Linked DNA regions of Danio rerio. The protein of the gene in region 2 purifies or fractionates together with the protein of the main gene of each other region. This does not show direct contact. Links are inferred from orthologs where the notes say so. Each region holds a gene or a part of one and is shown on either strand. Other genes may lie near its edges.

Evidence for each region.
Region 1: the proteins of myh9b (region 2) and usp11 purify together in Homo sapiens (affinity purification with mass spectrometry; 3 studies listed by BioGRID, with this or other methods). This does not show direct contact. The link is inferred for Danio rerio from reciprocal best matches to the Homo sapiens genes MYH9 and USP11.
Region 3: the proteins of myh9b (region 2) and enkur purify together in Homo sapiens (affinity purification with western blotting; 4 studies listed by BioGRID, with this or other methods). This does not show direct contact. The link is inferred for Danio rerio from reciprocal best matches to the Homo sapiens genes MYH9 and ENKUR.

What each region holds. Positions count from the first base shown.
Region 1 is NC_133183.1:10,230,083-10,233,736, forward strand, and holds part of usp11 (ubiquitin carboxyl-terminal hydrolase 11), read left to right. Parts: intron 1-526; coding exon 527-639; intron 640-724; coding exon 725-874; intron 875-3,654.
Region 2 is NC_133178.1:3,460,185-3,464,593, reverse strand, and holds the start of myh9b (myosin-9), read left to right. Parts: upstream 1-1,475; 5' UTR 1,476-1,877; exon of another isoform or gene 1,878-3,695; intron 3,696-4,365; exon of another isoform or gene 4,366-4,409. UniProt on the Homo sapiens protein: Cellular myosin that appears to play a role in cytokinesis, cell shape, and specialized functions such as secretion and capping. Required for cortical actin clearance prior to oocyte exocytosis. Promotes cell motility in conjunction with S100A4.
Region 3 is NC_133199.1:6,883,160-6,887,595, reverse strand, and holds the start of enkur (enkurin), read left to right. Parts: upstream 1-1,514; 5' UTR 1,515-1,707; coding exon 1,708-1,787; intron 1,788-3,621; coding exon 3,622-3,767; intron 3,768-4,183; coding exon 4,184-4,416; intron 4,417-4,436. UniProt on the Homo sapiens protein: Adapter that functions to localize a calcium-sensitive signal transduction machinery in sperm to a calcium-permeable ion channel.

The DNA.
Region 1 (3,654 bases), on a different chromosome or scaffold from region 2:
ACGGAAAGGACTTCAAATTAGTTGAAGCATTGCAAATGACTAGGCCCACCCGGAATCTATATGACAAACTTGCTTTATTTACCAAATAAAGTGAATCTAATTGGATTTGCATTTTAAACATTAAGTAAAAGTTCAAAAGATATTATTTTTTATTTCATATATTAAGGTATTAGTTATGATACTCCCAAAATAATTCAGCAGAAATCTGCAGACTTTTACCAAAATTCTCTGCAGAAATAGCAAAAAATGTCCACAGATTCAGTCTGGCCCTACAAATGAGACAAAAATTAAAAATATCAGAGAAATTAAAGAAAACATTTAAGCAGAAGTTAAATATAAAAACAATATATCTAAAATGTTCTTGTGTGGATGTCTAAATTTTTATGATACGCAAACTTTTCTTTAAACCAGTATTAAACTAAAATCAAAATCCATTCTTCATTGACTATGTTCTGTCTTGTCTGTCCAAGCTGTGCAAACTGTATCTTTTCTATTGCAAACATGTGTTGTTTCTTTATTTCTGCAGAAATATATAAAGCATCAAAGCATGGATGTACCTCACCAGCAAACAACAGTTCAGCTGCAGGAATGTATAGAGCTCTTTACCACCGTAGAGACACTGGAGGAGGAAAACCCTTGGTAATCACAAATTCCAGACTTTGATCATTTCTAGTGATGTACTAAATCTTCTGCGCATGTAACTTTTCTTTTCTGTGGTATGCAGGTATTGTCCCACATGTAAAAGACATCAGCTCGCCACTAAGAAATTGGATCTCTGGTCTTTGCCGGAGGTTCTTATCATCCATTTAAAGCGATTCTCCTACACCAAATACTCTCGAGAAAAACTGGACACAATTGTGGAGTTCCCATTGCGGTAAGATCAACAGTGATTTATTTTATGATTCATTTTTAAGTTGTGTTCACGCTTGGCAGGTTTGGTGCACCTCAACCAGAGGAATTGAAACTTATTCTAAATAAACTCCAAACTCCAGAACATTGGCATCTAAATGATTGGAAAACTGGCATAAAAGATATCACCATACATGTAATAGAATCCTCATTTTTCCTTGTCAAAGACAAAATGTTGCTTACAACAGTTTAATACAGGTGAAAAATAGGCCATTAAAGGGAAAGTTCAGCCGAAAATAAAATATATTTACCATTTACTCACCTTCAAGTTGTTCTAAACCTTGATAAGTTTCTTCACTCTGTCGAACACAAAAGAAGATATTTTGAAGAATGTTAGTAACCAGTAACTTTCATAGTTGAAGATACTAATACTGTGGAAGTCAATGGTTACAGGTTTCCCACAAAAAATCTAAATAACTTCTTTTGTGTTCAGCAGAAGAAAGAAACTTGAACAGGTTGAAGGGTGAGAAAATGATAACAGAATTTTCAGATTTGGGCGAACTATCCCTTTATATACCTTTTTTTTTCTTAAAGTGCATGTCATGTTTGTTTTTCGAAAAATATTTTATCAGAAAGCCGTGTGTATATAGACTATCCTGACACTAAATGCAACAAATTATACATGACCGTAATAGTTTGATTAAGGTTGATTAAGTTTACACCATACCTGTCAGCATTGGGAAGTGAATATAAGGGATATACCCACCATAATAAAGGATCCTCCCCCCTTTAAAAATCCAAATTTTTAATTACTAAATATGTTCATTTAGAGCTGTTTCATTGTAAATAAACCGTTTAATGGTCAGTAATATGTTTTATTATTATTATTCACAAAAGAAAAAATAAATATGTACATTAGCAGCAAAAACATTAGCTAACAGTTCAGCTTATTAAAATGAATACCTGTTATAATGAAATAGAATCAAGCTATCAAATCTCATTAGCCGTTTCTTCCCTGTATAACTTACATATTCTGATTAAAGAGCAACGAATGAATCTTTTATGCTCGTTTTTTTTTGTTTGATTACATTAAATAACAGGTGTCACTTTAAAAATGCACACATCTAACAATTTAATGAAGGTATTTGACTGCTTTCCTAACTTTTTATGCTCATTTAAGATAAAATTAGTTGGGTTTTTAAAAATAAACTCCAAGATCGACATCTTTAGATATTATTATTATTATTATTAATTATGTGTATATGTCTGTTTAAACACGCACCCAAAATCCAGATTTTCGCTCCACTTCAAATTGCGTGTACAAAATCCTTTTGGGAAACAGCGTCTGTTTATCACTATAGAGCGCGTCAGCTGAAAGTCATGCATCATTATATGAATGTTTTGAGGATTGCATAGGAGGGGTGACGGCACCTGTAATGAAAAGGAAGGGCAATCGCGCCATTTTTATGTTTATTTCAAAGTTTTTTAGTGCCTAAACAAAGTGAAAGCACGGAACAGAATCATATTTAAGAGCAAGGGGCGGCCCCTTGTGGTCCGGCGGTATGGGTTACATATAGGGATGCTCGGCTCTTTAATGTTTCTTGCCACCCTTCAGAGAAACACTGAAAATATGTGAAAAAATACGGGATGCTAGCGGGATAGAACTGTAAAATACGGGAGATTCCTGGGAAAAACGGGAGGGTTGATGGGTATGGTTTACACTCGGAGAGCAGCATTTGCACTGGATCTTTAAGTCCATAACATTGTAGTGATATTAACATACTGTAAACTTAGTAAATAAATCATTTTGACTAAGGTCTGTCTTTAAAAACTAAAAGGGTACTGCTGACGATACGAACTAACTTTACCTTTGAATAAACATAAACAAAGAACACTGATCGCTAACTTACCAAATCTGTAGAGACATTTCAATCAACACAAACTGGAAACAAGTCTTTTTTTTTTAAAGGAGTCGAGCGGCAAATCCGGATTTCACCATTTTCAGATGTGAAAAGCTCTCTGGTAAAAATGTTCCTTACAAACGCATTTCTGCTGCGTGTCACGTGCACTGTAATCCACACGTGAGTCCAGCTGCACTCTCATAGCGGGAAAATGAAAACAAACCTTCATTGCAGCAAATTATAAAAGCAACACTGATGACCCCTATCTCCAAACAATTCTTGTTTTTCCACTTAATTTGGCCGTCTGAACACTGTAACAAGTAAAAACAGTCTTCGAAGCTATCATGCACATTAATGAAGTTGCACCTCATTCACAATAGAGCGCGCTGATTGGTTTGAACCAAGTCTTTTTCATGAATAAATGCTGAAACCTCAAAGACGTCACGTTGTACTCACCAGTACAGACAGCCATTTTACACGCGGGAATACACGCAAGAATATAATCGCCGTGACGCAGCTTCAAAATATAGTTTTAAACCGAAAGAACGAATTTGCTTGAAATAACGCAAAACTAACCAATTTTCACTGTTTTGTGAAATGTATGTCCTAATAGTGTTTATAGCAGTGTGGGACACACATATGACTGTCAACAACTCAAAAAATGTGTTGGTGTTTCGTGACCCCTCAATAGTAAGTAAGGTTATAATTGGGTTTAGGTCATGGGTAGGATGAGGGATGTAAAATGTGATTTTACTTTATAAGTGCTAATAAACAGTGAATATCTTAATAATAGGCAGGTATTATTATTATATTAATTATATTATTATTATTATTATTATTATATTATTGATTATTATTATAAGCTATATACAGTGCTCAGCATAACTGAGTACATTTTGAAAAC
Region 2 (4,409 bases):
CATACACTACGGACAATTTATCTTACCTAATTCACCTGTACCACATGTGTTTGAACTGTGGGGGAAACTAGAACATACAAACTCCACTCAAAAACGGCAACTGACCCAGCCGAGGCTCGAACCAGCAACCTTCTTGCTGTGAGGCGACAGCACTACCTACTGCGCCACTGTGTCGCCTAAATAAAATAGTAATAAAATAAAAATAATAAAATATAAAATAAACTTATGATAATAAAAAATAAAATACATTAATAATAACAAAATAAAATAATTAAAAATAAAATATTAAAATAAAATAAAAATAAAGTAATATAAAAATATGTTTTCAGTTATATAATATATTAATATAATATAAAATAATAGCGTTTTCAGTTCAAAATATAAACAAAATTATGTTTTACTGAAACTAAAGAGTTTCAGGAACAAGAATATAATGCTAAAAATAAAATAATAATAATAATAAAATAAAAATTATAAAATAAAATAAAAATCAAATACAAAATAATAAAATATAAAATAAATTATTTTAATTTACATTATGTATGTCGCCTAGTATACATAGTATTATGTAATTTGTTTATATTGCTAGTTGCTGTATTAGAAGACGTACACAGCAGATTAATTAAAGTACCCTACTATAGTTCAAAAACACTACTATACATAATTATAGATTTTTAAAGGATAAAGATTTCAATAAACATTTATTTTTATGTGTGCTGAGATGTGTTATTCGTTCAGATTTGCCTGATTTTAGTTTGATTTTTCATGCGTTGAATTGACTAAGTGTCAATGTGTTTCTGAAGTTCATAGCTAGCTGAGAAAGCAGCAATATCATCAATCAGTCCTTTAAAATCAATGGTTTAATACACATGCCTGTTATTATTCAAAAGCTGCATCAAGCATTGTATGATTTTCAGTCAAATGATATGCAAATCAATGAGATAGACGCACAGATAGAGATTGATATTATCTGTGACGGGACAATATTGAAATATCGTGTAATAATAGTAGGCTAAAATAAACTATCCGTACATAAATATTGAAATGATCCAATAAACTCTGTAAATTGTGAAATGCCTGTCAACACTGACACCCATTATGTATTTATTTATTTAAAAGAAGGAGAGAAAGTTCCTGATTCCAGACATTCCTCCATTCCTGCGCGTGTGTGTGTGCGTGTAAACACGGTCCGGCGACTTATATGGTCACAAAAGCCCAAAGTCGCGCACATACCTCAGACATTAAGCACACATACGGGGCCCTGCGGCCCAACTATTTCAAGTTCACCCTGTGACGCGGACTTTTACCCGCTCTGGCACGCCCACACGCCGCCTGTCATTGGCCGAAGCCTTCGGGAATGCAGAGCGAGCGGACTGTGATTGGCGGAGATTCAGGAAAGGGGCGGTTACGTGCCGCAGACTCCGCCCCACCGGGACCGCACCCCGAACCATTACAGCAGGACGGAGTTCAACTACGAGTGGAAGAGGGAGGGAAGAGAAAGAAAGGAAGAAAAAAAGAGAGCCGAGTGAAGAGAGCCAACTTGTGCGCAGCTTCAGTGGATTGAAAAGGGAAGTCTGGAGCACGCGACACGGATCCACACTGAGCCTCTGGAGTTTCTGACAACCATCCCCCGAACTCCGAGCGTCTGCATCTGATTAGCAGGTAAAGCACCGGGTGGACGGTTCCGTTTCCTCCGCAGATCCATTCAGTCGCCGCGCGGAGAAACAGGAAGCGCAGCTAGTGTGAGCAGCGACCTGGAGTGACGCGGCCTGGTTTTGCTGCACTTGCAAACTTGTTGTGGTGAAATCGTTACGGTTGATCGATATTTCTTGCGAAGATAACCTGTGACGCGTCCGATCGGCACGGACAGCCGCGCGGTGAGTTTCAGGAAGTGCTCGAGCGCAGAAACACCGGCTCGCGCGGGCCTCAACGGGCACGCGGAAACCCGTTAATTTTCACAGAAAATGCTGTTTGCGCGAAAGTAGGGTGCAGTGCGACTGCAAACGGAGCATGATGTCATTGAGCGCTAGCGAGTGACGTTTCACGGGCGCTCATTACGTCATCGCTCGCGTTAAAACTGGGCCAAGCGGCGCGTTTTCAGTTATCCGCCCGATTTTAAGGACGAATCTGTATTAGCGGTTTGTTAACACAGCAGGAAAGTAAACTTGGACGCAAATAAACGTAGTTTCTGACTCTTCTAGAGAGTTCTAGTTAGTTACAGACAGATGGAAATAGGTTACGCGCGCTCCCAAAGTTCGATGAGGGTGTGATCGCGCTGCGTGCTCCCGCAGACATTGGTGCGCGCTTTCTTCAACCGGACAAATTTCATTTGTGTGCAAGAAACTTGGTTAATATTTGAAAGGAAGAGTGCACACGGTCATTCGCGGGGGCGCGCTGCGCGAGCTCGTCCTTCTGGTGTGTGGCCTTGTTGCATTTCTGTGTATTTTGATATACGTGTTGTTGGCTGCTTTCTGAATATGTGTCCAGCAATTAGCATATTTCATTTCAGAAACCCTCTAATGCTTTATTGGTTCTTGATTGTTATGAACAGGATGTTGATGAATCTCTGAAGTGAGTGATTGGCAGCTACTTTAGCTTTATGCTCAGATTTAGTTGTGATTTTGTCGGGTGTGTCTTATAACCACACAAATCTGTGTGTAATCCATGTGAGCTCTCAGATTCATGCTGATGTGAGTGTGTACTGCATTTATCTTTGTCATCATTCTGTTTGCTGCTAGTAATAGTGTTATAAGTGTGTGTGTGTGTGTGTGTGTGTGTGTGTGTGTGTTATTCAGTGCCATAGAGCAAATAATATTATTGAAATGAACACCAGTTTCACTTTCTTAGAAGACGTCTGCAGTACACACCTGACCTGTGTGTGTGTGTGTGTGTGTGTGTGTGTGTGTGTGTGTGTGACCTGGTTTTCTTTGAGCGAGTATGTCTAGGACGTTGTGACCCAGTAAAAGCACATGCTGGTCTCATTCTGGATTTTGTTGTAGCTTCTCTTCATTGGTTAAGGAAACGCATAAGACTCCCTCAATCCCTGCGGCATTTATACTGCGCACAGAGCTGCTGCGTCCAAGTCCTGTCCAAAAAATCATATTTACGAGTCGAACTCAACCACAACATCGTAATTGTGGGGAACAGTTTTTCGAGGCCTAAAGCTTCTGAGTTCAATACAGACTCAGTGGATATATTTATTTGGTCAACAGTTGACTGTAATTTAGTTGCAGCTTTTAAAATTGCTTTTTAGTGCACAATAAAAGTTGCATATGATGTAGTGGAAGATGTAGTAATTCAATGTATACATGCAGAGATTAAATAAATGCTTAAAAGAGCAAATGCACTATGCTATATCCATCATTATATAGAGATTGCTTAAATAAGTGTAAAATGGTACTTTGCCAGCTTGCTCTTGGTTTGAGTGATTTGAACAAATCTGACAGGGTAATTATGCCTTGTCAACTCCTAATGATGAACAAGAGGACTTTAGCTAATGTGTTTGTGTGCGTGGAATTTGTACAGCTATTGTTTTCCAAGTCGTGCATTAAAAGGTGTGAGCATGACCACTCTTTTATAACTTAGTATGGTCCATTATTTGTCTGATATCAAATTAAACATGAACATGAAGTCAGCACCTATAGCCTAGTGCACTGATCATCAACTCTCAGTAATGATTAAGGGTGCTTTCACACCTACACTTTTGTTTCGGAACGTATCTCGTTTGCCCAGTTAGCGCGGTTCGATTGGCATATGTGAACAGGGCAATCGCGCTCTGTCCCGCGCCAAAGTAATCGCTCCGAGATCGCTTGAATGAGGTGGTCTCGGCTCGATTGAAACGAACCCTGGAGCGGTTCGATTGCAGTGAGAAAGCGATCTGATCCGAGCGCGGTTATATCACAGTGTTTTATGGATATGTAATAGGCTTACGGCTATATGAAGAGAGAATTATGAGTAAGGCGGGAAGTTTCGTGAGTCTCCGGATGCCCGCAAACGAGTGATGATCTCCCGGTAATCTCGTGTCTCTCTCCCAGTCCTCAAATAGGCATCATCGCGCACCCTTCTCACCCCTCCCCACCGCGTCTATCCTCAGACACGTCACGCGCGCGCACCCTGTCAATCACCACCAAACCACCACCTCTCCTGACAGCTGAGCGGGACGCTGCAAAATAAACCCTGACACTCTGACCAATGTAAGGAGAGTTTACTCGCACGTGACTTGTTTTAGCTCTTTTGGTCCGATTAGAAACTTTGCAGTGTGAAAGCGAACCGCACCAAGAGCAAAGAGCAACAATGTAACAATTCTAATCTCTGTTTCGGAACAACTGAATCGATTCACAGGTGTGAAAGCACCCTAAATCACACTGAACTGAGCTAAACTGAACTGAACTGAACTTAAACACTAAAAC
Region 3 (4,436 bases), on a different chromosome or scaffold from region 2:
AAATGTAAAATAAAAATATGGATTAACATGGATTCATTGATTGCAATAAGAACAAATAAATACTATAATGATTGACTGGTGGTGGTGTGGGTATATATATATATATATATATTTTTTTTTTTTTTTAAATTTATTTATTTATTTATTTATATATTTTCTTATTGCGATCAACGAATGATCTGATGATCCCTGATGATTGTAACACGCTTTAGGTGTATGGCCATACACAATATATGCACTATATAAATGCACTTTACTTACTAATTGATTAATAATTTGTCACACAATATGTAGGTTTAAGTATTAAAAAATCTATCTCTCTATCTATCTATCTATCTATCTATCTATCTATCTATCTATCTATCTATCTATCTATCTATCTATCTATCTATCTATCTATCTCTGTATAAATGACAGAGTACTAATATATATATATATAATATATCTAATATATATATATACAATTCAAAGAAAAAGAAAAAACGGATCAGTGGTACAAAGAAAACAAAATATAAATGAGACAAATACGTTGAAGGTTATTTCTTATATATAATGTCAATGTCTATATATATGTATGTATATATATATATATATATATATATATATATATATATATATATATATATATATATATATATATATATATATATATATATACATTAAAGCAAATATGCTGGTGAGAAAGTTTTACTTGTGTTCAGAGCAGGTTAAGGTAAACCTCTTTAGAAATGATTGCAGTTCTTTATACACAGATCCTAAATGGTATTAATTAAAAAAATGATCTTTCATAACCTGCAGATTGCATACAATGATTGTATGAGGATTTTTCTTAAAAACATAGATGTGTAGTCAGGTGAATTATTTTGTAAGGTCATTGTTTGCTTTGGTGAGAAATTTCATCTGTCAGAATTCTCAGAATAGCATTTTACTGTTGTTGATCAACCCTATGCTTGCTGAGGTGCATACTGTGTGGTTTGTAGCCTATTGTTTGGTCTGTCTTTTGTACAATTGGACCTAGTGTCTTGAGAGTATTAAACATACAATATGTATAAGCATGCGTACTAAAAAAGGGTAAGGGGCTTGTGGAATTACAGAATCTTGGAGATTTCAAGTAAAAGAACAGTTAGATGGCTCTTTTATAAGTACTTTGCTTAATGTTGTTCGTAAGAATAGCTGGATAAAAGGGTTCTTGGTTAGTAAATGTGCATTATGGATCTTTGTAAATATTCTCAAAATTCACATTACATAGATTTACACTATTAACTGCCGAAACTATTACGTTTAAAACTAGCAAAGTAAGCAAGGTTTACCTAAAACGGCGTCTATCTGTCTAGTACAGGATTTCACGTGCGCTCACAGTGGCTGCTTTGTAAACAAACCCTGGCAATACGGCAACTGCAAAGGGACATTTCTCGTTTACTGGTTTAATAAACGGCTTGTTCCTTCAGCTTTAAATCATAATAACGAAATAAATCTTTAGCTTAGCATGTCGTTTGTTGTAGTTATATGTTTAAAGAACATAAGCTAAAATAACGAAATTAATATGCGGGAAATAATAAAACACGAGAGAAGCTGTTTGTTTAACATTGCTTGGCAGCAGTTGTCATAGGGACAGCTGTAAAACAACGCCGAAGAAACACGTCTTCATTCATATCGCAGTTCTATTTCTCTCTTTCTTGTCATTTCTCGTCTCTGTCATCGGGCATCATGAGCGACACCATTTATCCTGCAGAGAGCATCTATAATCTGATCCCCAGAGAGGAAGAGAAAACCATGAAAGCCCCCAGGTAACGTTTGAGTTCCAGACTTATCAATAATAAAAGGCCTCAAATAATAAATTGAGGTAAAATTGGTTTTATTGTCGCACATTGGTTCATTTATGAATAGTGATAACTTGAAGGTGTGAAATCACTTGTTTGACTTCAAAACAAAACTAACGTTAGCCATATTTAAATGGCTGTGATCAATATGCTTACTTTAATAGTTGTTTGTTGCTATTTTTACTTTGATTTCCCCTACTACGAAGAATACTTTAATGAAATTATATTAGCGAGAAAGTTCAAATGTGCGAATATTTGCCCCAGTAAATAATAATTTGTCATGGTTTTATATTTTACAACGTAGTTGTTTGTTTCATTATAACACTGTCTACTCATTTCGTTACTATAGCAAATGTGAATATGATGATATATCAAAAATCTATTTTAAAAAAGGTATATTATATTAAAAATATAATATATAAGATATATTTAAAAAAATTTCAAGTAAATTTGAACTTCAATATGTTCTGTTTTAGGAGAACGTATGTGAATCATCACCTATATCCCACAAACAAAGCAAAAACTGAGGTAAAGTTGGTTTTATATTTGCACATTCATGCAGATATATTGTTTACCATGGAGCTTTGAATATTCGGCCTCAAATCCCATGTAATTTATGACTTCAAAACAACATTATCTATATGACTGTGAACATTTTTGTACTTTGATAGCCATTGACTGCTAATATGATTTCTCTATTTGGAATTTGCAAATACTACCTTTATGAAATCATATTATTAACAAGAAAGTCTGAACTTGCGAATATAAAACCAACTTTACCGAAATTAAGCAAAAAGCTGTCGGCAGTACAGAGAAAGAATTGGTAAATGTGCTTTCTGTTCAGAAACTGATGCAAAATGTACTGTCAGAATGTGTTTTAAATGGGATTTCCCTCATCCCCCCATTTTATCTACAATCACCTGCCACTTTGGGTTGGACACCCTTTTGCTTTCAGAATGGCCTGGAAATATTCCTCAGAGATTTTGGTCCATGCTACATGATAGCATCACGCAGTTGCTGCAGATTTGTCGGCTGCACATCCATGACGTGAATCTCCCATTCCTCCCAGGTGCTCTATTGGATTGAGATCTGGTGACTGTGGAGGCCGTTTGAGTACAGTGAACTCATTGTCATGTTCAAGAAACCAGTCTGAGATGATTCAAGCTTTATGACATGGCACATTATGTAGCCATCAGAAGATGGGTACAATGTGGTCATAAAGGGATGGACATGGTCAGTAACATACTCAGATAAGCTGTGGCGTTAACATGACGATCAACTGGTAATAATGGGCCCAAAATGTGCCAAGAAAATATCCCCCACACCATTACACCACCACCAGCAGCCTGAACCGTTGAATTAAGGCAGGATGGATTTATGCTTTCATCTTGTTGATGCCAAATTCTGACCCTACCATTCGAATGTTGCAGCAGAAATAGAGACTCATCAGACCAGGCAATATTTTTCCAATCTCTTATTGTTCAATTTTGGTGAGCCTGCATGAAGTGTAGCCTCAGATTCCTGTTCTTAGCTGACTGCACCAACAACCACGCCACGTTCAAAGTCACTTAAATCACCTTTCTTCCCCATTCTGATGCTCGGTTTGAACTGCAGCAGATCGTCTTGACCATGTCTACATGCCTAAATGCTTTGAGTTGCTGCCATGTGATTGGCTGATTAAATATTTGCATCAACGAGCAGTTGGACAGGTGTACCTAATAAAGTGGCCGGTGAGTGTATTTGATTTGAATGAAGCACGTGTTTTCTGTGACATTCATTCAGTAGCATCTTCTTTTTTCAGGTACATGTCAAAGTTCAGAGAGCAGGTGAAACTGGAGAAACAGTCAAACAAAGCCCCTAATAAATCTATGGGACCAGCTAAAGTGGACGTCCCATTGCCACAGAAATATCTACTAAAACACTCGAAGGAACCCAAACTCCCTGAAAGTATGTGAAATATCTAATATATATATATTTTTTTTATTTATTTATTAAATTTACTTGGTTCACCCAAAAATAAAAATTTCCTCATCACACTTGAGTGGTTCGAAACTTGTATGAATATCTTTCTTCTGTTGTGTCATTGATATCCATAGCAGGAACAAAATTACTATTGAAGTAAATGACCTTTTTGTTGTTGTTGTTGTTGTAGTCTTTAGTATATCTTCCTTTGTATTTAACAGAAGAAAGAAACTCAAACAGGTTTGGAAGTTAAGGAGGAGTAAATAATGACAACATTTTCATCTTTGGATAAACTACACTTTTATTACATAACATACATATCTTTTCATACAATAATAAATGCCAATGTTTTTGTATAAATCACTAAAGATTTGTCTGATCATTAATTTTTGCTGTTTCAGAGAAACCATTTAAATATGAAGATGATGAGCTGCATTATAAACCACCAGTACCTGCTAGAACTGACAAGCCGCTCATGGGTCTTCATACCAACAAGAACTTCATTAAGACCAATGCCGTTGAGAATATCATGGCAGTCCCGAAGAAACCACAGCCGGCGTACACTGATACAAAAAAGGGAGACAAGCAACCGCTTGAAAACTCTGGTCTCGTTCCTAAATATATAAAGAAGAAGGTGAGGAGAGGGATTTAATC